6 linked regions of the Macaca mulatta genome follow. The protein of the gene in region 1 purifies or fractionates together with the protein of each later gene. This does not show direct contact. Links are inferred from orthologs where the notes say so. Each region holds a gene or a part of one and is shown in the gene's direction. Other genes may lie near its edges.

Region 1 (4,130 bases):
GCCTCGGCCTCCCAAAGTGTTGGGATTACAGGCGTGAGCCACCGCGCCTGGCCAAAAGTTTAATTCTTAAAATGCTTGACACAATCAGAAGCACTTAACTACTGTATATTTAAAAACAACGTAGCATTATTACCATAAAGTTCTTAAGAAATGAAAACAGAGAAATACATTGGCTCATAGAGTGAATACAGGATGCATCATTAACAAAGGGTTAACATCAAGATCCATTTTTACAAAAGGGACTAGTTTGTTACATCTCTGATTTCTAGTCTTGGAGTTTCCCCAGTCATGTGTTTACTCTTCCGTGGGTGGGAAGATAAATCAGAATAACCAAGTGAGCTTGCTCTTGAACTATTTTATTTACAATGATATGGTAATTGTAGAAAATGAAGTATGCGTATTTAAATAGCATTTAATTGACAAAAGACAATTTTCTCTACTTCAAAATTGTAAACATTTGCAAAGTAAGCCTCATATCAAAGTCAAAGCCATCTACTTTAAAAGCACACATTCGTAATTCTATTTTTCTTTATACTGAAGTATTTCCATTTTTGGAGATACAAGTCAAAATCACTCAAAGCATAAAGAAAAGTTTCAAAATAATAAGCGCCTCATCTTGCACTATCCTATTTGAAGGAGATCAACTAACTTTGATAGGTGCCTCACAATAAATGGCGCCTTTGTCTCAACAAATAGTAAATGCGTGGAGTGCACAACGGAATAGCATCAGTAAGATAAAACATAATAAACAGGATGGATGGGGAAAGGCTAGATAAAACGTGGTGGAAGAAAAAGAAAGACGTCACAAAGATGGGGTAGCATTTCTTTGTCCAAAAGAGAAACAGTACCACCATAAGACTTTAAACAAAGGACATTAACAACACTTATCATGCAAGTAGATTCCAGAAGGAAAATAAAATGCCACTACTAAGGTGGAGGCTGAAGTTTCAGGACAAATCGCTTGGCACCACCTCTGCGGGGGTTCACCATGGCGAATGACGCGTGGGAAGCTGGGCGAGTGGCCAGCCCGCTCCTGGACGCGCGGACAGGTGGACACCAAGACGGCCTCGCTGGGCCTCCCTCCGCCTCACCCAGCCCGGGCGCGCAGCCCGCCAACGAATTCCACCCTGCCGTGCTCTGAGCGGCTGGTGAGCGGCGCCAGCCGGCGGAGGTTGCCATGGTTTCCGAGGGTCACGTGGGCGCGCTCTCCTGCGCCCCCTCCCGCGCACCGCGGCGGGGCGGGGGCGGGGCGCCCGGGCGAGGGAGAGGCGCGGCCGCGGCGGGAGCGGGAGGAGCAGGAGATGCTGCCAGCCCTCCCGGGGCCGCGCTCGCTCAGCCGCCGCCGCCACACGGAGCAGACGCGCGCCAGGAGCCGCGGGCCGGGCCAGCCGGGCCGCCGGGGCCCAGTGCGCCGCGCTCGCAGCCGGTAGCGCCGCCAGCGCCGTCGGCGCTCGCTCGGCAGCCGCGGGGCCCTAGGCCGTGCCGGGGAGGGGGCGAGGGCGGCGCCCAGGCGCCTGCCGCCCCAGAGTCAGGATGAGCATCGAGATCCCGGCGGGACTGACGGAGCTGCTGCAGGGCTTCACCGTGGAGGTGCTGAGGCACCAGCCCGCGGACCTGCTGGAGTTCGCGCTGCAGCACTTCACGCGCCTGCAGCAGGAGAACGAGCGCAAAGGCACCGCGCGCTTCGGCCATGAGGGCAGGACCTGGGGGGACGCGGGCGCCTCTGCCGCCGCTGTCGGGGGTGGCACCCCCAGCAAGGGGGTCAACTTCGCCGAGGAACCCATGCACTCCGACTCCGAGGACGGAGAGGAGGAGGAGGCGGCGCCCGCAGACGCAGGGGCGTTCAATGGTGAGGACCAGACCCCCCGCCCTCGCGCCCCGGGATCCCCTTGCTGCCACGGCTCTCGGATCTTGCCGCTTTGCGCGCCCACCTCTCCCCGCATTCTCCACCTTTCCCTACCTTCCCATCTCGCCCACCCCCTCAGCATCCATTTCTGTCTCTCCCACTCGCCCACCTTCCTACTCCGCTCTCTGTCATACCCTCTTCCCTTCCTCTGGAGGTGGGAGAGCTGGGAGGTTACGCTTCCCTCTGCCCGTCTGCCCCCTCTGCCTGGGCTGGTTGGGGTGGGCATCTGCTAGAAAGACAACTTTCGCTGTGATTGGAGGTATTTCGCTTGGAGGATACCATTGTGCATAAAGAAACTGGCCCACTTGGCGTCTTCTTTCAGCCTTTGTATTTATTAAACGAATGTCAAAAGAGAAAAGGCGAACGATGTTTAATATGATTGTCTTTACTGTTGTTAGGATGGTAGATTCACTAAAAGAAGCATGAAATTGGACTCACTGGGGCAGAACAAAATTTATGGCCAATAGCTCTGACATTCTTGGAAATAAGAGTTATCTGTTATTTTCCAATTTACCAATGCCGTGTTGTGTTATTTTTGGACACGTAACAAAGGATTCTATTTAGTCTGAAACCCACGGGGGTCTTTGGAATGAGGAAACGGGTTAATGGTTTGCTTTTTGTATAAAAGACATATTGAATGATTTGCTGTTTTATTTTTTTTAAGTGTATGAGAAAAACACTGTAGGAAGTTCTGAAAGCTTGTTGGTTGTCTTTAGAATGAAAAGCCAGTGAGTAATTGTAAGGACTGTGCCAGACTGAGCTAGAATAGACTGAGCTAGAAGAATGAATGGGAAAGAAAACGGAATTTTCTCAAATAGCTGCTCCTGGCAAGTCCCACCCCTTCTGCTTACAACCCTCTTTCCCTAACACACCCAGACACACACCCTCATTTACAGCCCCCTGTATTACACAACATACCCAAATCCCATTTTTATGGCAACCCAAGCTAAAATACCATGGAGTGCAATGTGCAAGTGTTTTCTCTTTGTGATATAAGGCAAACATGCATGCAGCATTGCACCAGCTTTTATTTATTTACACTGCTTGTGGTTTGTGTGTCCGCAGTGTATTTCATAAAATGAAAACATTTAGAAGTGTCATTTCATTTCCTTGTGTATGCTCCTAGGAAGATGTTTCTTTTCTTTGCACGATTACATGTTGAAATGGATTATAAAATTAATGTATTTTTAGTTTGTCCAAAACAATCCCAGAAAGCCTGGAAATTAGTGCTTTATGAAGATAAAAGTGAAGCTTGTTACTTACAATTTTAATTTTGGACTTTTAAATGTTTCCTCAAGAGGATAATCATAGTCTTAGTAGTTCTTTTTGCACAAGAATCAAATCAAACGCTTTTCCTTCTAGAAACAAGAGAAAGAGAGAAGAATGCATGTTTTAAATAGGTAAGAAGCAGCAGCCAGTAACGGATGATAGAAAGGGCAGAGATATCTAATACTTCTTTTATGCTCCTGACGCATGCACACATGTTCATGCACACACACAAAGGGGGAAAAAAGGACTCTTTTCCCAGGTTGGAGAAAACTAGGAACTCAGGGGCTTGGTAAAGACCTTATATGTATTCTGTATAATATGTTGTTAATATAATCAAAATCTTTTGTTTGTATAATGCATTTGTTGAAGTACTTTGCATTGATGATTCCATTTTCTCCTTATAACAATATATTGTGCACAGAAGAGATTCCATTTTCATTTTGTAGTGAAGAAACAAGCCGTTAACTTCAAAACAGCAGGGCTTTATATGACTTTATATTCTCCAAGGCACCTTTGCTGTAAAAATTGCTCAATGTGAGTTAAACAAGTTAAACTTGTAAACAATTGCACTATTTACTCCCCAGCCTCACCTCCAAGGCCTTTAAAACTTTTAGACTGCAACCAAATACAATTTGATCATTATCCAGGAGGCACATACATGTGTCTGATTGAAACTTTGGCAATAGTACAGGTACTACCTTCTGTCAGATGCAGTGCTTTTTGATATTTACTATTTGAATTGATTATTTCTCCCTATTTTAAATTGTGTTGAGACCTGCAGTTGAAAAACATTTAATTATAGGCTACAAAGTGGTTGGCAAGCTTTTCTTGTAAAGGGCCAGATAGTAAACGTTTTAGGCTTTGGGCAACATGTGGTCTTGATTACTTTTTTTTTTTTTTTTAAAACACATACGCGTTGTGAGGGTTGGGATTGTCGAAAATTAGCCGCATATCA
Region 2 (4,226 bases), on another chromosome or scaffold:
AATGTTAAGATCATTGGAAATTAAATTTCATGACTGTCTCCCACCTGGCCTATAAATCTCCTAATCTTTGCTTCTGCTTTGGCCTCTTTAAGACCCATTATTTTCAAGGAAGAGACTTTTTTTTTTTAAAGTAAACTCTGGGTGTCTCTCCCCTATTAAAAACTTTCTAATACCTTCTATTGCATTTAGAATAAACTTTCAATTCCTTTCTTGGCTAACAAAGCCTTACAGGATCTGATCCATGCTAGTTTCTGACTCAGCAAGAACATCTCCATCTTGGACAAGCACCACCATTTTAAGTTCCCCTTGATTAAAAACTGCCTAAATCCAGCCCCAGAAACATCAGCCTAATGTCATCATGACCATAAACCACAAATGACACCTCTGATGAGAAATATTCCAACCCTGAGATAAACCCCCCTCTGATCAGAAATATGCCTCCCCTCCAACCAGAGACATTAAACCCCCAGCAATAAAACCCTCCTCCACCCAGAAACATTCCAAGCCTGCAATATGCTCTCCCTCCCTCAACCGCTAAATACCTTTAGTCTGTAAGAGAGAACACTACTGACTGAAATTGGCCAGAAGACCCTCTCAGGTTTATTCTCCAAAATAAACCTGTCTCTGTTAAGCTGCCTTTTCTGTTTCTTTAACTCTTACAGTTTCCATCTCCAGGCTCAATAAAGTTTACTTTCTCATTTATTCTTCCCTCAAATGCACTAGAACAGGTCCTTACTTAGGGCCTTTGAATTAGTGTTATCCTTTTCCTGGAATGCTGTACGCTCTGATTTTTGCATGACTGTTATTCAAATCGCTGCTAAAATGTCTCCTCCTCAAAAGGGCAGCCCCTTTACTAGCCACTCAATCACCATCACGTCACTTATTGTAACTTCTTTACATACATTTTAAAACCAACAGATATTTTGTTTTCTTTTCATCCTCAGATAAGTTCCCTAGAATCTACACTACTTATCTTCATCATTGTTCAATGGACAATGATGTTCAATGGACAAAGCCTGGAGTAGTGTTTGTTGAATGAAGAAATGAACAAATGAATTGCACCCTTTCTTCCCTGACCCTCTCCTCTCAACAGGGCAAAACTTAACTCATAATGAGGATACACTCAAAAATGTCTTTTTTATTGCCAGGTGTTTCCACTCTTGAGGAACAGATGCCCTTAAGGAGACAGGGCAATACTGGCCCTTCGGATTTTAGGTGAAAATAATCAGCACAACAGCTTTTCATCTCTGGTTAGGATTCCCAGTGACCAAAGCTTTAGTTTCCGATTTCCATACCATGTAAAGACATCAGGGTGAGCACTAGGGCCCTGAGAACCCTGGGTGCTACTTCTTGGCTGGGATAGGGCCGGTTGCCCTGTGCGCTGTGAGTGGTCCTCCCTGGAGATGCTGGGAAAAGGGGTGGAGTCATCAGAAAGGATGAGCCTTCCTTGGGCCTTCGGATCTGGTGGGGCTGCCACTTAGGGAAGGGCCCGGGGCTTCGGAAGAAAGCAAAACTAGCCTTGTGGCGAAGAAGGAGCCCAGCTGGCCCCAGGCTGTAAGACTAAGGGGTCGACGGAAAAGAGGCAGAGCCTGAAACCAAATCTGCGGAGCAAGCCAAGGCCTGGGGACTTGCCAGAGGAAAGGGTTAAGCCGTTTCCAAGGCAACGGACCAGGAAGCACGCAAGACGTCCGCCGCAGGTTCGTAGGTCGCCCTCGAATTTAAAGCTCCCAAGGCTGAGCGGGTCCCGGCCAATGGAGAGGCCCCCTTTAAATCATGTGATCAGCGGGGCTGCTCCGCTAGCTGCTCCGGAGCACGTGGGAAGGCTTTTTTTCCTGTTCCTTCTTTCCCTTTTTAAACGCCCACTCACTTTTGCGCGGGCTCGGCTGCGGAGTTCTTCTCGCGAGAGGCGCGCTGCCCTCTCGCGAGAGTGAGTGGGAGGCGTGGAGAGTAGGCGGTGTTGCGGGCCGGAGCTGCGGCGGCGGCGGCGGCGGCGGAAGCCGAGGGGTGGGCAGGGCGGGGGCGGGCCGCGGGGCTGGGAGGGGGGAGGGCTGGGGGCCGACGCGGGAGGGGGCCAGCCTGCTCGCCCGGCTCGCTCACGGGTCGTTGCGGCCGGTGACATGTCCATGAGCTGCGGAGGCTGCGGCCCCCAGGTGAGCCGGGCTCCGACGCGTTTGCCGCGGAGGCTGCGGTTAGATGGGGTGGCGGCAGGTATGCGGCCGGCATGGATGGAGCGGCCCGGCTCCGGCGCCCCAGCCCCTCCGCCGGCCCGTGGTCCCTCTTCTGTCTTCGGGGCCGCCCGAGAGCTGCGCCTTCGCATGGCGGAGGGAGGAGGGCGGGAGGAGCGCGGCCGAGGGAGGAAACCCAAGGCACCGGGCCCAGAGTAGAGGGAGGTGCTCGGTCTCGAGACGGGTCTTCCTGGGGTCCCGAGTGTGGCGGTGGAGCTGCCGCCGCTTTTAATGACAGGCTGTTTAAATCCACGGGGTGGTCTTTAGAGACGGTCCCCCGGGTACGTGGTGTGCGCACAGGAACATTTGCAGCAGAAGGAGGACGTTGCACTTTGTCCGCGAACAGCATCCTTCACTGTCAGAACCCCGGAGCCCTGGAAGCAGGCGCTGCTCAGATCTTATGACAGAAACGGAAGGCGTCAAGGGGCTCTTCGTAGTATTGATATTTGCATTTGCTGTCAAATACCCTCCTAGGCTGTTAATGGCTTAAGGCTGGCCATAAAGTACTCCGAATGGATTTAGTATACTGCTATTAATCCAGGCATCTAAGCTGCTTTATAAAAAATATGTAGATGTAACCGAAGTATTAAAAAAAAAGTAAATGACAATGACAGTAAAAGCTAACATTTTTTCTCTTCCCCGTATTACCAGCTTTCATTTTTTTCTCTGCTTTCTCTGTCTTCTAAAACCATATAAAGTTGGTTGTGGTTTAGCTTTAGATGTTAAGGAGTTTCATGGTGAGAGAGACTGCTGAGACACACATCTAATAGCTTTAGTACAAACTGGAGTTAATTCCTGCTCTCTTTTCAGCTTTTCAATCGCTTGCAAAATGCTCGTTTTGCTTAGCTGCTTCCCACTGTTTTAGAAATGTCATGTTGATTGTGATTTCGTTATGTCTGAAAATACTCAAAATATGGAGTGCTAAGAAAAAATGGGGTATCAGTAATGCAAAGATAATTTTTTTTAACGTCATGATTTTAGGATGGCAGCCCAGTGCCTGACATGATTGGTGTCAGTTAAAATAGTGCAACTGAATGATTTTTTTTAAACGTTTACTTTTTCAAATGGTACCCTGATTATTCATTTTTTTTGTTGTTGTTGTTCCTCCTGACAAAACTGACCCGGGGTGAACAGTGAATGTCACTATTAATTGTAGCTGTAATAGTAATTTATGAAAGGTCAAAGAACGTAAGGGAATCAGGGAAGAAGTGGGTTCCCAAGCTGAACTAGGGACTAGTGTATGTACCCACATAACTGCACTATCGACGAGATTGATATGGGTCTAGCAGTGGACTCCTAGGCCAGTGATATTTTGCAGTTGAGGATATGGGAAGTTGCCTAAGACATGGAACCATAGTGAGAAAGTCTCTAGCCTTCTCTAGCCCCCTGAACTCCAGGGATAAGTCTAGAAGCTGAAGAAGTCCTCTTTTGCCTTTAGAGGCCGGAAAAAATATAGTACTTTTAATTTTTTTTATTTTTTAATTTTAGGAACTTACTGTCTGGAAAAGGAACTCAAACCAATTTGGACAACATATTAAAGACCGTTTTAAGAGAAATTGTCAGTTATAAATAGGTAGAGGAATTCTCTCTATACTTGACAAAAATGTAACGTAGAAAATATATCTTTGTGAATGGGCAGAGGAGACCAGTGTTGATTAGAAAAAAATTTCTTCTCACTCCATCTTAGCAAACTAATTTTCAGAAATAGAAAAATAAATTTTTTGGCTGGTCTTCATCACCTTTTGGCAAGGGTTTCAAACTTGTAGGGTGTGTGGTGTTTGGTTTTTCAAAAGTAATTGAAGTAACTTTGGATAGGGTAACTGATTTTTTTTTTTTTTTCCTGTCTTGTCTGCATTTTATTAATCAACTACCTGGAAGGATTGAAGAGTGAGAACTGGTCAAGAGAAGATCTAGGTTAAGCCTGGGTGTGAGTTAAGGGTCAATAAGCTGGTAATATGGGTAAGAGAAAGAAAAATGCTTTATCAGTTTAAAAACAGACTG
Region 3 (4,079 bases), on another chromosome or scaffold:
GGGTTCAAATCCTGCTTCCACCAGATAATAGCTGTGTAATCTCGGTAAGTCACTTCTTTGTGCCTTAATTTGCTCGTAACTAAAATGATGACAGTAAAACCACATCTCTCATAGGGTTCTTATGAGGAGCAAATGAGTTACTATTCGTATAGAAGTTGTAATGCAGTATACATTAACAGAATTGGTGATAATAGGAAGTTTACTAATAATCTTATCGCTCCATTTTTTGTCAGTAATGAAAATTTTTTTAAAAGCCTGAGAAATTTCAAGTCAACAGGTATTCGTAAAACACCTACTATGCCTGGTGCCTTGGGAACATAGAATAATTTGGGAAGTTACAGTCTATTTTGACTTTGTAATAAGTGGAAAACACAGAGCAAAGTTCAATGGAACCACAAAAATGCTAGAGTGCCATATAATTTACCTAAGTAAAGCTAACAGCAAAATCAAGTATTCTAAGATTTATATTAATAAAAACGCAACTAACAATTGGGAATGTATTTATTTTCAGATCTACACGGAAGTTGCTAAATACAATGCTGTACATCAACAGAAGTTGTGCAGAAATAGTAAAATTTTCCTTTATCTCCACCTGGGAAGTCTGAAAACATAGGGCTTGTGACTGGAGCCTACTATCCCCGAGGACAACGCGGTGGGCTCAGCGAATACCTCAATGTGCGAGGGAATGAAAGGCTCGAACTACGACCGTGACTAGGGACCAGGCTTTTCCTACTGCCGATGCCGGGCAGATGCAGACCCAGAGACCACCCTTGCGCGCGATCTCCAACCCGAAGGTGCGGCTCTTTTTCGGACCTGGCGCTGTGAGGAAAAGGCAGTCTTTGAGTGAGGAGCCGCCGCGTGGCGGGACACAAGGAAAACCACCCGAGCCGCTGAACGGTATCCCGCGACTCCACTCCAGGGCACTGGGAACGCCAGGCTGAGGAGGGACTCTGCCGTCCGCAAAGCTAGCGGTTCCCACTCCACCTCCCACTATCTCAGCGATGGGCATCCGAGCGCTAGACCGGGATACCGCGGCGGAGGAGGCGGTCAGCGGAACCTCAGGCCCCAACCCTGGGCTCGGCCAGCTAAGGGTCCACCGCCCGCCCCCGGGGTCCCGGGCCACGTCACTTCCGGCGCGCGCACCCGCGCGCGAAGACACAGTCGGGCCAGGGCCTAGCCCGGGAGCGCGGCTGCCCGGGGGCGCGCGGGGAGGGCGGGCCGCGCGAAGGGGGAGTGTCTGCCCGCCGCCGCTACTGCTGCCGCCGCCGCCGCCGCCGCCGCCGCCGCCGCCGCCGCAGCAGCCGCAGCTACCGGTGCTGAGGAGTTCGCTGGAACCCTTTCCTCAGACCCGGCCCGGTCTCCCTGCCCGGACTCCGGGCGCCAGCGCTAGGCGCACTCACCGCTTTGACGGGTGCAGAAGCGGGAGTTGCCCCAGACTGTGGAGTGGCGGGCACGGCCCCAGCCCCCCTTCCCCTCCCTGACCCCTTCTTGCCATCGCCCCAGACATGGGCAACGCGGCGACCGCCAAGAAAGGCAGCGAGGTGGAGAGCGGTGAGTTGAAGGCCGGGTCTGGGTATCCGCTGGGCGGGCCGGCGCGGGGCACCGAGGCCCCTCCGGGTCGCAGCTCCTGAGGCCGCGGGCACGGGCCAGGCCTAGTAGCGGCCGCCGGGAGTCGTTCTGGGGGGCCGGGGGACCAGCTGCCTTCCTCCTCCATTCCGACCCCCCAGCTCCGTGTTGAGGGCTGAGTGCGAAGGGCCGGATGTGGGGATCCTGGGAAGAGCGTTCCCTGGGATTCCCTTTTTCACTCTAGCGAGGAGGACTTGCACACATTCTGGAACACTTCCCCAAATATGGTCCGAGGAAAGAAGTCCCCAGTGCCATCCCACCCCTGCTTTCCCCTCTCGCCGACTCTTTGGGAGCTACAGGTAGTGGTGCTGTGGGTAAGGTTGGCTCTTCTCCCTCCATCACTTGGGTCCAACCCAACCTTATCACAAGGCGGGGGCTGCTAGTCTGGCTCTACGCAAGTGAGGCTAATCCTGAGTGAACAACTCTGCCTTAGAGATCCTTCATCTCTTCAGATTAGGAATGGAAAACATAATGAGACCAAACAGCAACTTTATCCATTAGAGAAAAAAGCCAGGCAGGTTTGCCTTTTCTCTAGACATTCTAGGATCTGCTGCAATGCCTGTAAAACTTAAAGGTCATTCGGAGTGGAAGTGCTTCCAGAACACGGTTAATTTCTTCTGAGAGCTGAAGGTGCGGGTACTCCACACTTTACATCAAAAAGTAAAATATCATGAAAATGGAATTTCTGTATGGCTGTGAGGTGTGTGTGTGTGTCTGTGTGTTTGTGTATGCATGTATACACATGCATATATATGTGTGTATATATGTGTCAGTCAGAATGGTCGTGAAATAAAACTTGGGTTTGCCTTTGTAAAGTTTATATATTTTTATAATTCAGAATGGCCGAATAACAGATGATATTTGTTACATCACCAGTAGTGAATGACATGTTAGCACTTAAAGTGGGCCTGATAATTTTAGTTTGTGTAAATATTACTTGTAATGTTTTCATGGTTGTAACATAAGAATTAGGCTAATTTTATAATTTAGCATGAAGGAAATAGCTTTTTTTTCTGTATTAGTAAAGTAGAATTCATTTAGAAGGATTTAGTCATTCATTTGGTTTAACATAAATAGATCAGATTATATGGTTTATGTTTCATCAGTAAGGTTTTGGTATCAATTTTTGGGAGCTCCAGAAAAGTTTGATGAGCTATTATATAAACTATTTAAGAACACACAGTATGTCATACAGAGATCTAAAGAAACCATTGTAGAGGTAGAATGTATGTTATTTTATTTATTTATTTTTGAGATGGAGTTTCGTTCTTGTTGCCCAGGCTGGAGTGCAATAGTGCAATCTTGGCTCACTGCAACCTCCGCTTCCTGGGTTCAAGCGATTCTCCTGCCTCAGCCTCCCGAGTAGCTGGGATTACAGGCGTCCACCACCACACCCGGCTAATTTTTGTATTTTTAGTAGAGATGGAGTTTCACCATGTTGGCCAGGCTGGTCTCGAACTCCTGACCTCAGGTAATCCACCCACCTCGGCCTCCCAAAGTGCTGGGATTACAGGCGTGAGCCAACGTGCCCGGCCTTTGTTATCTTTTTAAAATTGCGGAAATATAGTAACTAACTGTACAGGAAGTATAAAAAATGCAAAAAGCATAAAGAATTATTTGTACCTTATATGTTGTCATTTTTCGTGTTAATTTAAAACTGTATTAACTTAAAACGTGCTAATTGTGTTACAAAAGAGTGTTTGGAGAATGATCCTATTAGTAGTTTTCATTAGCAAGTGCTGACCTGTATAATGTTTATATTTTGGATAATGATAGTAGACTCTCCTGTGACCTGTATATTTTTTATTAAGTTATCAAAACAATTCTCCCTTAGACAGTATTAATTTGCAACTCATAGCTGTGAAATAACCTCAGAATATTTACTGAAAACAGAATGGAAACTTCAAATGTTTATCTGAACATATTTAAATTATTTCCATGAATAAATTCTTTCCTATGTTTTAAGTGTTAATGACAGTCTAGTACTTATTAGTCAGCTTTTTGTGTAACTTTGTTTATGGAAACAAGGTCATTATAATAGTTTAAAAAGCTGTTGTGAAGTGACCAAAAAAAAAAAATAGCATGTTATGTGTCATAGGGAAAATTATTTGAAATGTCATGTGTTGATTAATGTTTGTAATTTCATTTGGAGCAATGTTATCAGGTATATGTTGCCGTTCTGTAGTAAACAAAGAAATTGTATTTTAAACTTAATGAAAGAACTCTTATCATTACATACCTAACTGTTCTGTGTATTTTTTTAAAGAATTATTCTTGAAAATTTGTTTTTCAAAACTTTTAGAAATATATGATGTTACAGATCAGCCTGTACAATCATTCCTTTTCAAAGATCCTGATCTCTGAAGAAGCTGGAGTTGAGATCATACTGTTAGTAATAACCGAGTAAGGAATAGAGTCTGATGCCTGCACTCCATTCAGCATCACTGAATAAT
Region 4 (3,500 bases), on another chromosome or scaffold:
CATTGCACCATAATCTCTCCATTCTTGAAAATGTTCTCTGTATCCAGCTTGATTTCCTTGTCTGTGTCTTCTCTACCCAGAAACTTATTATTTATTATGATTTGTCCTATTTCATTGGCCAATAAGAAAAAATTGTCCCCTGGCAAATTTATCATTAAGAGATGATGTAAGAAAAATTACAAAAATATAGAAGCCAGAAGATCTCTATGGTCTTTGCCCCACCCTTGTACATTCCAAGGCTTCCTTTCTTGTTCCCAGCCTCTTCCTTTTCTTGTCTCCTACCTCTTCTGAGTTGGAGCAAACCTAGGATATCATTATGAATAACAGAGGATTCTGTTGTGTTGTTATTTTCTTTTCCAGGCTTGGGTTTGGATACTTCTCCAGTAATGAAGACCCCTCCCAAGCTGGAGGGTGATGCTACTGATGGCTCCTTTGCCAATAAGCATGGCCGCCATGTCATTGGCCACATTGATGACTACAGTGCCCTGAGACAGCAGATTGTGGAGGGCAAGCTGCTGGCCAAAAAGATAGTGTCTCTTGTGAGGTCAGCGTGCAGCTTCCCTGGCCTTGAAGCCCAAGGCACAGAGGTAATCACACCTGTAGCTTTAGATGCACTGTTTCCTTGTGCCCTTTCTTCCTTTGATGGTAACTCCTTCTCCCACCATTTTTGTTTTTGTTTTTGTTTTTCGTGCTTTGCATCTCTCAACAGCTGAGGCTTCCTCTTCCATGTACAGCAGCCAGGCCCTGTCTTCTCTGTCTCCTATTTTCACTGTCAGTTCTGCTCTGTTCCAGATGTAGCTGACTGGATATTTCCCCTCAGCCCCACAGAAACATGTGGCATTGCCTAGCAGCCTTTGGGAGCTTTTTTTTTTTTCCTCTTTTCTTGTTTTTATTATTATACCTTAGGTTCTAGGGTACATATGCACAATGTGCAGGTTTGTTACATATGTATACATGTGCCATGTTGGTGTGCTGCACCCATTAACTCGTCATTTACATTAGGTATATCTCCTAATGCTATCCCTCTCCTCTGCCCCCTCCCCACAATAGGACCTGGTGTGTGATGTTCCCCTTCCTGTGTCCAAGTGATCTCATTGTCAAGTTCCCACCTATGAGTGAGAACATGCAGTGTTTGGTTTTCTGTTCTTGAGATAGTTTGCTGAGAATGATGGTTTCCAGCTGCATCCATGTCTCTTCAAAGGACACGAACTCATCCTTTTTTATGGCTGCATAGTGTTCCATGGTGTATATGTGCCACATTTTCTTTTTTTTTTTTTTTTTTTTTTTTTGAGACGGAGTCTCGCTCTGTCACCCAGGCTGGAGTGCAGTGGCCAGATCTCAGCTCACTGCAAGCTCCGCCTCCCGGGTTCCCGCCATTCTCCTGCCTCAGCCTCCCGAGTAGCTGGGACCACAGGCGCCGCCACCTCGCCCGGCTAATTTTTTGTGTTTTTAGTAGAGACGGGGTTTCGCCGTGTTAGCCAGGATGGTCTCAATCTCCTGACCTAGTGATCCGCCCGTCTCGGCCTCCCAAAGTGCTGGGATTACAGGCTTGAGCCACCGCGCCCGGCCATGTGCCACATTTTCTTAATCCAGTCTGTCACTGATGGACATTTGGGTTGATTCCAAGTCTTTGCTATTGTGAATAGTGCCACAATAAACATACATGTGCATGTGTGTTTATAGCAGCATGATTTATAATCCTTTGGGTATATCCCCAGTAATGGGATGGCTGGGTCAAATGGTATTTCTAGTTCTAGATCCTTGAGGAATCGCCACACTGTTTTCCATAATGGTTGAACTATTTTACAGTCCCACCAACAGTGTAAAAGTGTTCCTATTTCTCCACATCCTCTCCAGCACCTGTTGTTTCCTGACTTTTTAATGATCGCCATTCTAACTGCTGTGAGATGGTATCTCATTGTGGTTTTGATTTGCATTTCTCTGATGGCCAGTGATGATGGGCATTTTTTCACGTGTCTGTTGGCTGCATAAATGTCTTCTTTTGAGAAGTGTCTGTTCATATCCTTTGCCCACTTTTTGATGGGGTTGTTTGTTTTTTTCTTGTAAATTTGAGTTCTTTGTAGGTTCTGGATATTAGCCCTTTGTCAGATGAGTAGATTGCAAAGATTTTCTCCCATTCTGTAGTTTGCCTGTTCACTCTGATGGTGGTTTCCTTTGCTGTGCAGAAGCTCTTGAGTTTAATTAGATCCCATTTGTCAATTTTGGCTTTTGTTACCATTGCTTTATGCAGGCACATGACCATCTGTGGGCAGAGTTGACACAATGGGGTGGACAGAAACTGAAGGATTTGCAGGTGTATGGCCCCCACATGTGGAAGGGGTGAGAAGCCTGGCAGCCATGGCATTTCCTTGTGCAGACTGCATAGAGGGAGGGAAGGCAGTCAGCAAAGCTTCTCAGAGCGCCTTGCCAGTGAGAGAGACCAGGCACCAGGGCTGTGCTGTCTGAGCTGCTGGAGACCCATGGATGCGTAGGGACAGCCCTGCCTCCACGGAACCCCACACTAGAGGGCAAGACACACACACAAGTAGATCAGCACAGTAAGGGGCTACAGACACAGCATGAGAAGCCATCCTCTGTGCTGTGAGGCCGCCAATGCAAACGTGGTCATTTATCTCAGGCAAGGAAGGTAACAGGTTCATAGAGGACACAGCAAGGGGGGTGAGTTTTGAAAGCCTTGTGGGTTCTGCAGGTGGAGGGAGGCATACCTGGTAAAGGGACCAGCACCTTAGTTCTGAGAGCTGCAAATGGTTGTGCGAGGGCTTCACAGTTCAAGCAGGCCCATGTTCTGTGCCTCACTCACAAAGGAAGCGGGAGCCCATGCAGGGGGAAGAAAGTAATCTCTCCGCTTCTGTGGTGTTACCTTTCCCCAGGTGATGGGCAGCAAAGGCATACATGAGCTTCGGAGCAGCACCACTGCCCTGCACCATGCCCTAGAGGAGTCGGCTTCCCTCCTCACCGTGTTCTGGAGAGCGGCCCTGCCAAGCACCCACATCCCTGTGCTGCCTGGCAAAGTGGTAAGATGCCAGTGTCCTTTCTTGGTTTGAACCCAGTTTTCCTGCCCTCCAATACTGTTCTGTCTCTTCAGTGTCACAGCTTTTCAAGAAAATCGGGAGCCACATAGTGAATTGGGATAGACAGGACCTTAGAGGAGTGTCCCTGGAGGGACATCTCTGACCCATGGTGGCTGCTTTCATTGCAGCTGTAAATACATCCCATTCCCCACCAACCCCCTGGCCCCTGGATAAAAAATCAAGAAGAGGAAGGGGTGTGGAGAAGGCGGAGACATCATAACCCTGGCAATCCATAAAGGTTCAGTTTCTTTACCTCTCTGAAGTTTGGCTGAGCTGAAATTCAGTTAAAGCTTCAGCACCCACCTCCCACCCCTCAGGTCCCACGGTCACATGATCACAGAATGCCCCCATGAGACTGAGCCTTTTCAGCCGCTGCCTGGAATTCCAGCATATCACTTCAGCTGGCAT
Region 5 (3,500 bases), on another chromosome or scaffold:
CCAATGGTCCTTTTGCCATTTCCCTCTTTGAGTCTGTCTGGTTCCACATTTCAGTTGTTCCTGTCGGCACGCGTGAATGCCCCACTCTTTCAGTTACCGTCATCACCAAGGGTGGTGCAGTGAGGTAGCAAGATCTTCGTCTTTGCTGCCAAGTAGTCCTGGGTCTAAGTCTGGCTCCCCTCCCGAGCTGTGCATGCCTGGGTAGGAAACAGCCCTTTTGAGTTTCGTTTCCTCATATCTCTGAACTGAGGGTTAGAGAGCACCAACCGTTTAGGGCATCTGTGAAGATTACATGAGATCACGTATGTACGGGGCTGGACACGGGGAGCACTTGGAAATTGCAGCTGTGACTGGAATTCTTAACCAGGCTTGTCACTGCTTGGTCCACACTCTTGTGACTGAGAGTGGAATTGGCCTGCTCTGTGGGGTTCGAATAAGTTACCCTATGGTAGAACTAACCTGTGCTTCTCATGCCTGTGGGGCCTTCTTAGGGTGCAGGAGGAGGTGAAGTTGAGGCAGCAGCTGCTCTCACAGAATGACAAGCTATTGCAGTCCCTCCGAGTGGAGCTGAAGGCGTATGAGAAGCTGGATGAAGAGCACAGGAGACTGAGAGGTACCGGGGGGGCTCTGGTCCGAGGCCCTTCTCACCTTGAGGCTACTGTGCTTTGGGCTGTAAGCCCACCCGACCGCCGGCTGTAGGCGCAGGAGGGTAGAGCTCAGCCCTCTCCTCTCTGGCCTCGTGGGTAGAATGGATGGGTGTTGAAGCTAGCGCTTTGACCCACTCTTCTTTTGAAGGAACAGCAGGAAACATAGAAGGACTGAGGCTCAGCACCCAGGCCAGCCACGGTCCGGGTTCCCACTCCCTTGTTCCCAGCTATTTGACCCTCAGCAGGCCACTTCACCCTTTGAGCCCAGCCCATACATGCCTCTGTAAAACATGTCTCTCAGCACCTGTTGTGTGGAGAATTGTGTTGAAAATTGAATGAGACCATTTATTAAAAGCATCCTAGCATGATACCTGACACATAGTAAGCACTCGGGAAATGACTTTTATTATCGTCCTGCTAGTGTGTGTTACTTTTTGCCCATTAATTCAGCAAACATTTATGGACACCTCTCATGTGCTGGGCATTGCTCTGGGGATAGTTGTTGGCCTCAGTGCTCTCTGTATCCCAAGAGAGATACCAGCTCAGAGTGCTTCAACTATAAGGTCTAATGTTTCAGAATCAATTTTGAGGTGTGGTGAGGTGTTTTTTTGTTTTTTTGTTTTTTTAACTAATTTTCCAGATGGTTTCTCTCTATTGAAAGTTGATCTAGAAAGGGGTCATCTCACAGCTTTTATTTTCTTCTCAACTTGCTTTTCTTATTCTTGCTGTTGTGTCTTTTTAATATACTGTGGCTCTTAAAATCATCCCCTTTCATTCTATAATTCTAGCCCAAATAGATTTTATTACTACTAGACATAATTTCGGGGTTTGGTATGCAATTTGCTAGGCTTTTATGGCCAGAAGCGAAAATTAATTTCCAGCTCTTATTTAGCCTGTGGAATAGCAGCAATTAAGTCTGCCAATATTTTTGTTTCTAAAGTCAAGTTGTTATTTTAAACTGTACCTAGTTCTTAGGAAGAGGGAGGGCGATGGTGGTGGCGGGTGTAAAACGCGATTGAGTTCCTTCAATGGCTGACCCTTTGGTTGTAGAAGATGTCAGGGCTTCTCTTTGCACATGTCTGCAGAGGCGTCGGGAGAAGGCTGGAAGGGGCAGGATCCTTTCAGGGACCTGCACAGCCTCCTGATGGAGATCCAGGCTCTGCGGTTGCAACTGGAAAGGAGCATTGAAACCAGCAGCACTCTGCAGAGTAGCCTCGAGGAACAGCTGGCAAGGGGGGCAGAGAAGGCACAGGAAGGAGCCCTCACTCTGGCCATCCAAGCCCTGTCCATCCCTGAGGTGCCCCTTCAGCCTGACAAACACGGTACTGCCCCTGCCTCTCCCCACTTGGCTGAGAATGCAGCTCTGAGCATCTGTGTGTGACGTGTGAACTTCTGAATGATGCCTTTGCCCCACACAGGTGTCTTTCCGTTGATAGCTGACACGCTGTACCCTGGGAGCCAGGGGACCTGACTGCTAATTAATTAGACGTCACCTTTGGCAAAGTGGCGTAATCTCCATCTGAGGCATCTTGATTCTCAGGGAAGTGGAATTTGGACTTCCAGACACCCTCAATGCCTCTGGCCTTGCTCCCTCCTATCCATTTATTCCTGCCTGCATCACTTCCATGCTGAAATTTCTTTTAGTTTCTCTTACTGCCTTTAGAAGGGAACCCAAACATCTTAATCTGGCTTTCAGTGTCTTTCAGGATCTGAAAATCATCCTGATAGGTTTAAAAAGTGGATCTGTTTTGCATTTGCTTGCAGGTTAATTGCCTAGCCCTGGAGAGAGGCTGTGGGGGGGTACCAGAAAGAGGAGCAGACACCTCTGCCACCTGCCCACCACGGGGTGTGGAGCAAACCAGTAAATGGTTAGACTCCAATCAGTCAGGCAGCCTGTCCTCTTTGCTCTAGAGATGAAAAACAAAGGCCCAGAGAGTGGATGGGGCTTGCCCAAAGTGGCATAGCAATTAGGCAGCAGAGCTGGAACTAGAAACCATTTCCAGCTTTGACTCTAGGGCTGTTCCTAAACCCACTGGACCCTCTGGAGCCTTGGGTATCCTGGGATTATCTTCCTGACACCCATGGGGTAAATATGTGTATCCAGTGGGATGAGGAATGCCAGCATGCTTTAAAAGCAGTATTGTACTAAAGTTTGCACTTACTTTTACTTGGATACCTCTAGTTAAAAAAATAAAAATAAATCTCTTAAGGAGTACCTAGTCAGTCTGCCTTAGAACTTGTAGTGATTAGTTCATTGATTTCTCATTGACAAGGATCTTAAAATTTAACCAAAAAGATGATGTAATAATATGAAAAAAGTGAACAGAGAAAAAAAGTTGATGATTCTACACATTGATCATTTTTTAAAATTTGCATATTTCTTTTCATTTATTAAATATCGGCATGAATTTATATTTTTCAAATTGGTTTTTGTGTCATTCTGTGTCCTTTCTTTGTTTTTGTCCAATATTGCATCATACATGTTCCCTCTGCTTTCACATGGGCTTCCTAATGATTGTTTGCAGGCTATTCTTAGTCACCAGTCCATGACCCCGTTGATTATTAAAGTGGTCTCTGATTTAGAGCCATAATAGACATCAATGTTAATATACTTTTTGCTGTTAAACAATATTCTTAGGAGAAAACCCGACCAGGGGAATCTCAGAAGTTTAGAAAGGTGCCATATTTCTACCTTCTAAATGGTCTGTCCATCAGAAGTGTACAAAGGTAGTGGTTTTTGCGTGACCTCATCAGCATCGGGCATTAATATTTTTAACATGGGTCTGCACCTGGCCCTTTTTAAGGCTTTGAGGAGCTTGTGGGGGTGGGCTAGGGGAGATTGAAGCAAGGAGA
Region 6 (3,500 bases), about 19 Mb from region 1:
TATTTTGTAACAATAAATTGCATAGTTGTTTGCATTGATAATTAATAACTAATAATTGTAGTACTAGAAACAGTTAATTTGAAGCCAGGTGTGGTGACTAATGCCTGTAATCCCAGCACTTTGGGAGGCCGAGGCGGGTGGATCACCTGAGGTCAGGAATTTGAGACCAGCCTGGCCAACATAGTGAAACCCCGTCTCTACTAAAAATACAAAAAATTAACCGGGTATGCTGTCGTACATCTGTAATCCCAGCTACTTGGGAGGGTGAGGAAGGAGGACCACTTGAACCCAGGAGGCGGAGGTTGCAGTGAGTCAAGATTGCGCCATTGCACGCCATCCTGGGTGACAAGAGGGAAACTCTGTCTCAAAAAAAAAAAACAGGACCAGGCGCGGTGGCTCACGCCTGTAAATCCAGCACTTTGAGAGGCCCAGGCAGGCAGATCATGAGGTCAAGAGATTGAGACCATCCTGGCCAGCATGATGAAACTCCATCTCTACTGAAAATACAAAAATTAGTTGGGCATGGTGGTGTGCGCCTGTAGTCCCAGCTACTTGGGAGGCTGAGGGAGGAAAATTGGTTTAACCCGGGAGGTGGAGGTTGCAGTGAGCCAAGATGACACTACTGCACTCCATCCTGGCGACGGAGCAAGACTCAGTCTCAAAACAAAACAAAAAAAAGAGAAAGAGTTAATTTGAAATGAACCCCAGTCAAGAATCTTTAATAGTTTATATTTTCCTCTTAGCTAGCATATTATATGCCTCAGCTTATCAGTGGAAGCTGTTTTTCTCTCTCTCATTATATGCTTCATCAACATAGCTTTATGGAAGTTCATTTGTCTTTCTGACTTAGGTTGGAAGTTAAAGATAAGACAGATGAAGTACATTTGCTTAATGACACATTAGCAAGTGAACAGAAAAAATCAAGAGAGCTCCAATGGGCTTTGGAGAAAGAGAAAGCGAAGTTGGGACACAGTGAAGAACGGGATAAAGAAGAACTTGAGGTACTGTTATCTTTGTCTTTAAATGTCTCTGGAAAATCCAGAATGATAGAAGAGAGTCTTGAGACTTTCCTCCATCTAAAATGTCAACCTTAGACTTCTTAATAAGATGCGGTAAGTTGTTCACTTAGGCATTCAATACTATATAATGTTATCTAAACAATATTATGAGGAAATGCTAATGGAATGGTGATTGGTTTGTTTGTTAGTTTGTTTTGCTACATCCAAAGATGCATATAGACTGCTCTTCTGCAACATGTTTTGGTCATGTGAATTGGTACACAGAGATAAACATGGCAATCCTGTCAGTTTAATACAGAAGTAGTTTTGGTTCCTGTTTTCTCCTAGGGAAGAGGAACAGGGATACTTTTCTGGATCCCTCACTGCTTAAGAACATTTAAAGTGAACATTGGCCCCTTTCAGAGAGACACACCCCTGCTTTGCAAGGCTCTCAGCTCAAGGCAGGTTGTACTACTACATGCAGTATCTACTTTTAATAGAGATGGAGTTGTCTCATTGGCTCAGAGCTCTTCTAGCCACTTAAATGTATGCTGCTTCATTACTTAGTGAGGTTAAGATTTTTTGAGAAAAGTATTTTACCCTTCTTTTGTTTATATTTCATGATTTTGCACTAACTACTGAACATTTAAGTTAATAAACTAAATCAGTTCTATTTTCTAATACAGATACTATCAGCATAGTATTAACAAAGGCATGGTTGTATACTTATAAAGGTTTTTTTTGTTTTGTTTTGTTTTTTTGAGTCAAAGTCTCGCTCTGTTGCCCACCCTGGAGGGCAGTGTGGCATAATCTAGGCTCACTGCAACTTCCACCTCCCAGGTTCAAGCGATTCTCCTGCCTCAGCCTCCCAAGTAGCTGGGACTACAGGCATGTGCCACTGCACCCAGTTAATTTTTTGTATTTTTAGTAGAGACGTAGAGACAGGGTTTCACCATGTTGGCCAGGCTGGTCTTGAACTCTTGACCTCAGGTGATCTGCCCTCCTCGGCCTCCCAAAGTGCTGGGATTACAGGCGTGAGCCACCATGCCTGGCCAAGTATTTGTAATAATACTAACAAATTCTTAAATTTGACTTTCTCATACCAGGATCTGAAGTTTTCACTTGAGAGTCAGAAACAAAGGAATCTTCAGCTAAATCTACTTTTGGAACAACAGAAACAACTACTGGACGAATCCCAGCAAAAAATAGAATCACAGAGAATGCTATATGATGCCCAGTTGTCAGAAGAACACGGTCGAAACTTAGAGCTTCAAGTACTTCTTGAATCTGAGAAAGTTCGAATTCGGGAAATGAGTAGTACCCTAGATAGGGAGCGGGAATTGCACGCACAGCTGCAGAGCAATGATGGTACTGGGCAGTCTCGGCCATCCTTGCCCTCAGAGGACCTACTGAAAGAGCTGCAGAAACAGCTAGAGGAAAAACACAGTCGCATAGTAGAACTGTTAAATGAGACTGAAAAATATAAACTGGATTCTTTGCAAACACGACAGCAAATGGAAAAAGATAGGCAGGTTCATAGGAAAACACTGCAGACAGAACAAGAGGCCAACACTGAGGGACAGAAAAAAATGCATGAGCTCCAGTCCAAAGTGGAAGATCTTCAGCGCCAGCTGGAAGAGAAAAGACAACAAGTTTATAAGTTAGACCTTGAAGGACAGAGACTACAAGGAATCATGCAGGAATTCCAGAAGCAAGAACTAGAACGAGAAGAAAAACGAGAAAGTAGAAGAATTCTGTATCAGAACCTTAATGAGGTAAACTGACAGTTTCTTTTTAGATATTTTTAAGGTAAGTACTGCAGCCCTTTGATCATTAAATTTTGATATTGGATTAAATTACTTAAATAACTGTTTGTAAATCACCTAAAAATGAAATATATAGACGTTTGTTGGATATAAACAATAATTGTGTTCCCTTAAGATAGACTGTGATATGCTCTTCACTTATAATTATTGTTTTCTTATTCTGTCCAAAATTGCCAGCCAGCCACGTGGAGCTTAACCAGTGATCGAACTAGAAATTGGGTTCTTCAACAGAAAATAGAAGGAGAAACAAAGGAATCAAACTACGCTAAATTGATTGAAATGAATGGAGGAGGAACCGGCTGTAATCATGAATTAGAAATGAGCAGACAAAAGCTTCAATGTGTAGCTTCAAAACTACAGGTTCTAGCCCAGAAAGCCTCTAAGAGGTTAGACTTTTCTGCCTGATCTTTGGGAAAGCAGCATTCTTAGGCTGGGTAGACCCCATGCCTCTTTGACAGCTAGCCAAGGGTGGGGAATTGAAATTTTAAAGGTAATGCATGTTTGCATTAGGAGGTGATATTCTTTAACAGAACTCAAATGTCTGAAAATAACTATCTAACACTTTGACCCAGGGAAGAGAGCACAGTATATAAGGGAGAAGTGATAGGTGAAGTAGAACGTCACCTGCTCTGTAATGTTTGTGGTAGTAAACACCCCCAATTGAGAAGGTATGTTT

Evidence for each region.
Region 2: the proteins of PRKAR2B (region 1) and AKAP11 purify together in Homo sapiens (affinity purification with mass spectrometry; 3 studies listed by BioGRID and IntAct, counting the BioPlex papers as one, with this or other methods). This does not show direct contact. The link is inferred for Macaca mulatta from reciprocal best matches to the Homo sapiens genes PRKAR2B and AKAP11.
Region 3: the proteins of PRKAR2B (region 1) and PRKACB purify together in Homo sapiens (affinity purification with mass spectrometry; 7 studies listed by BioGRID and IntAct, counting the BioPlex papers as one, with this or other methods). This does not show direct contact. The link is inferred for Macaca mulatta from reciprocal best matches to the Homo sapiens genes PRKAR2B and PRKACB.
Region 4: the proteins of PRKAR2B (region 1) and myomegalin purify together in Homo sapiens (affinity purification with mass spectrometry; 4 studies listed by BioGRID and IntAct, counting the BioPlex papers as one, with this or other methods). This does not show direct contact. The link is inferred for Macaca mulatta from reciprocal best matches to the Homo sapiens genes PRKAR2B and PDE4DIP.
Region 5: the proteins of PRKAR2B (region 1) and CDK5RAP2 purify together in Homo sapiens (affinity purification with mass spectrometry; 3 studies listed by BioGRID and IntAct, counting the BioPlex papers as one, with this or other methods). This does not show direct contact. The link is inferred for Macaca mulatta from reciprocal best matches to the Homo sapiens genes PRKAR2B and CDK5RAP2.
Region 6: the proteins of PRKAR2B (region 1) and AKAP9 purify together in Homo sapiens (affinity purification with mass spectrometry; 3 studies listed by BioGRID and IntAct, counting the BioPlex papers as one, with this or other methods). This does not show direct contact. The link is inferred for Macaca mulatta from reciprocal best matches to the Homo sapiens genes PRKAR2B and AKAP9.

Annotation. Positions count from the first base shown.
Region 1 is NC_133408.1:146,657,339-146,661,468, forward strand, and holds the start of PRKAR2B (cAMP-dependent protein kinase type II-beta regulatory subunit), read left to right. Parts: upstream 1-1,330; 5' UTR 1,331-1,533; coding exon 1,534-1,849; intron 1,850-4,130. UniProt on the Homo sapiens protein: Regulatory subunit of the cAMP-dependent protein kinases involved in cAMP signaling in cells. Type II regulatory chains mediate membrane association by binding to anchoring proteins, including the MAP2 kinase.
Region 2 is NC_133422.1:21,627,491-21,631,716, forward strand, and holds the start of AKAP11 (A-kinase anchor protein 11), read left to right. Parts: upstream 1-1,426; 5' UTR 1,427-1,697; intron 1,698-1,943; exon of another isoform or gene 1,944-2,150; intron 2,151-4,226. UniProt on the Homo sapiens protein: Binds to type II regulatory subunits of protein kinase A and anchors/targets them.
Region 3 is NC_133406.1:156,488,184-156,492,262, reverse strand, and holds the start of PRKACB (cAMP-dependent protein kinase catalytic subunit beta), read left to right. Parts: upstream 1-1,279; 5' UTR 1,280-1,505; coding exon 1,506-1,551; intron 1,552-4,079. UniProt on the Homo sapiens protein: Mediates cAMP-dependent signaling triggered by receptor binding to GPCRs.
Region 4 is NC_133406.1:119,875,563-119,879,062, reverse strand, and holds part of myomegalin, read left to right. Parts: intron 1-360; coding exon 361-587; intron 588-2,891; coding exon 2,892-3,035; intron 3,036-3,500. UniProt on the Homo sapiens protein: Functions as an anchor sequestering components of the cAMP-dependent pathway to Golgi and/or centrosomes.
Region 5 is NC_133420.1:37,795,285-37,798,784, forward strand, and holds part of CDK5RAP2 (CDK5 regulatory subunit-associated protein 2), read left to right. Parts: intron 1-491; coding exon 492-613; intron 614-1,732; coding exon 1,733-1,969; intron 1,970-3,500. UniProt on the Homo sapiens protein: Potential regulator of CDK5 activity via its interaction with CDK5R1. Negative regulator of centriole disengagement (licensing) which maintains centriole engagement and cohesion. Involved in regulation of mitotic spindle orientation.
Region 6 is NC_133408.1:127,276,416-127,279,915, reverse strand, and holds part of AKAP9 (A-kinase anchor protein 9), read left to right. Parts: intron 1-850; coding exon 851-1,001; intron 1,002-2,104; coding exon 2,105-2,773; intron 2,774-3,001; coding exon 3,002-3,210; intron 3,211-3,500. UniProt on the Homo sapiens protein: Scaffolding protein that assembles several protein kinases and phosphatases on the centrosome and Golgi apparatus. Required to maintain the integrity of the Golgi apparatus. Required for microtubule nucleation at the cis-side of the Golgi apparatus.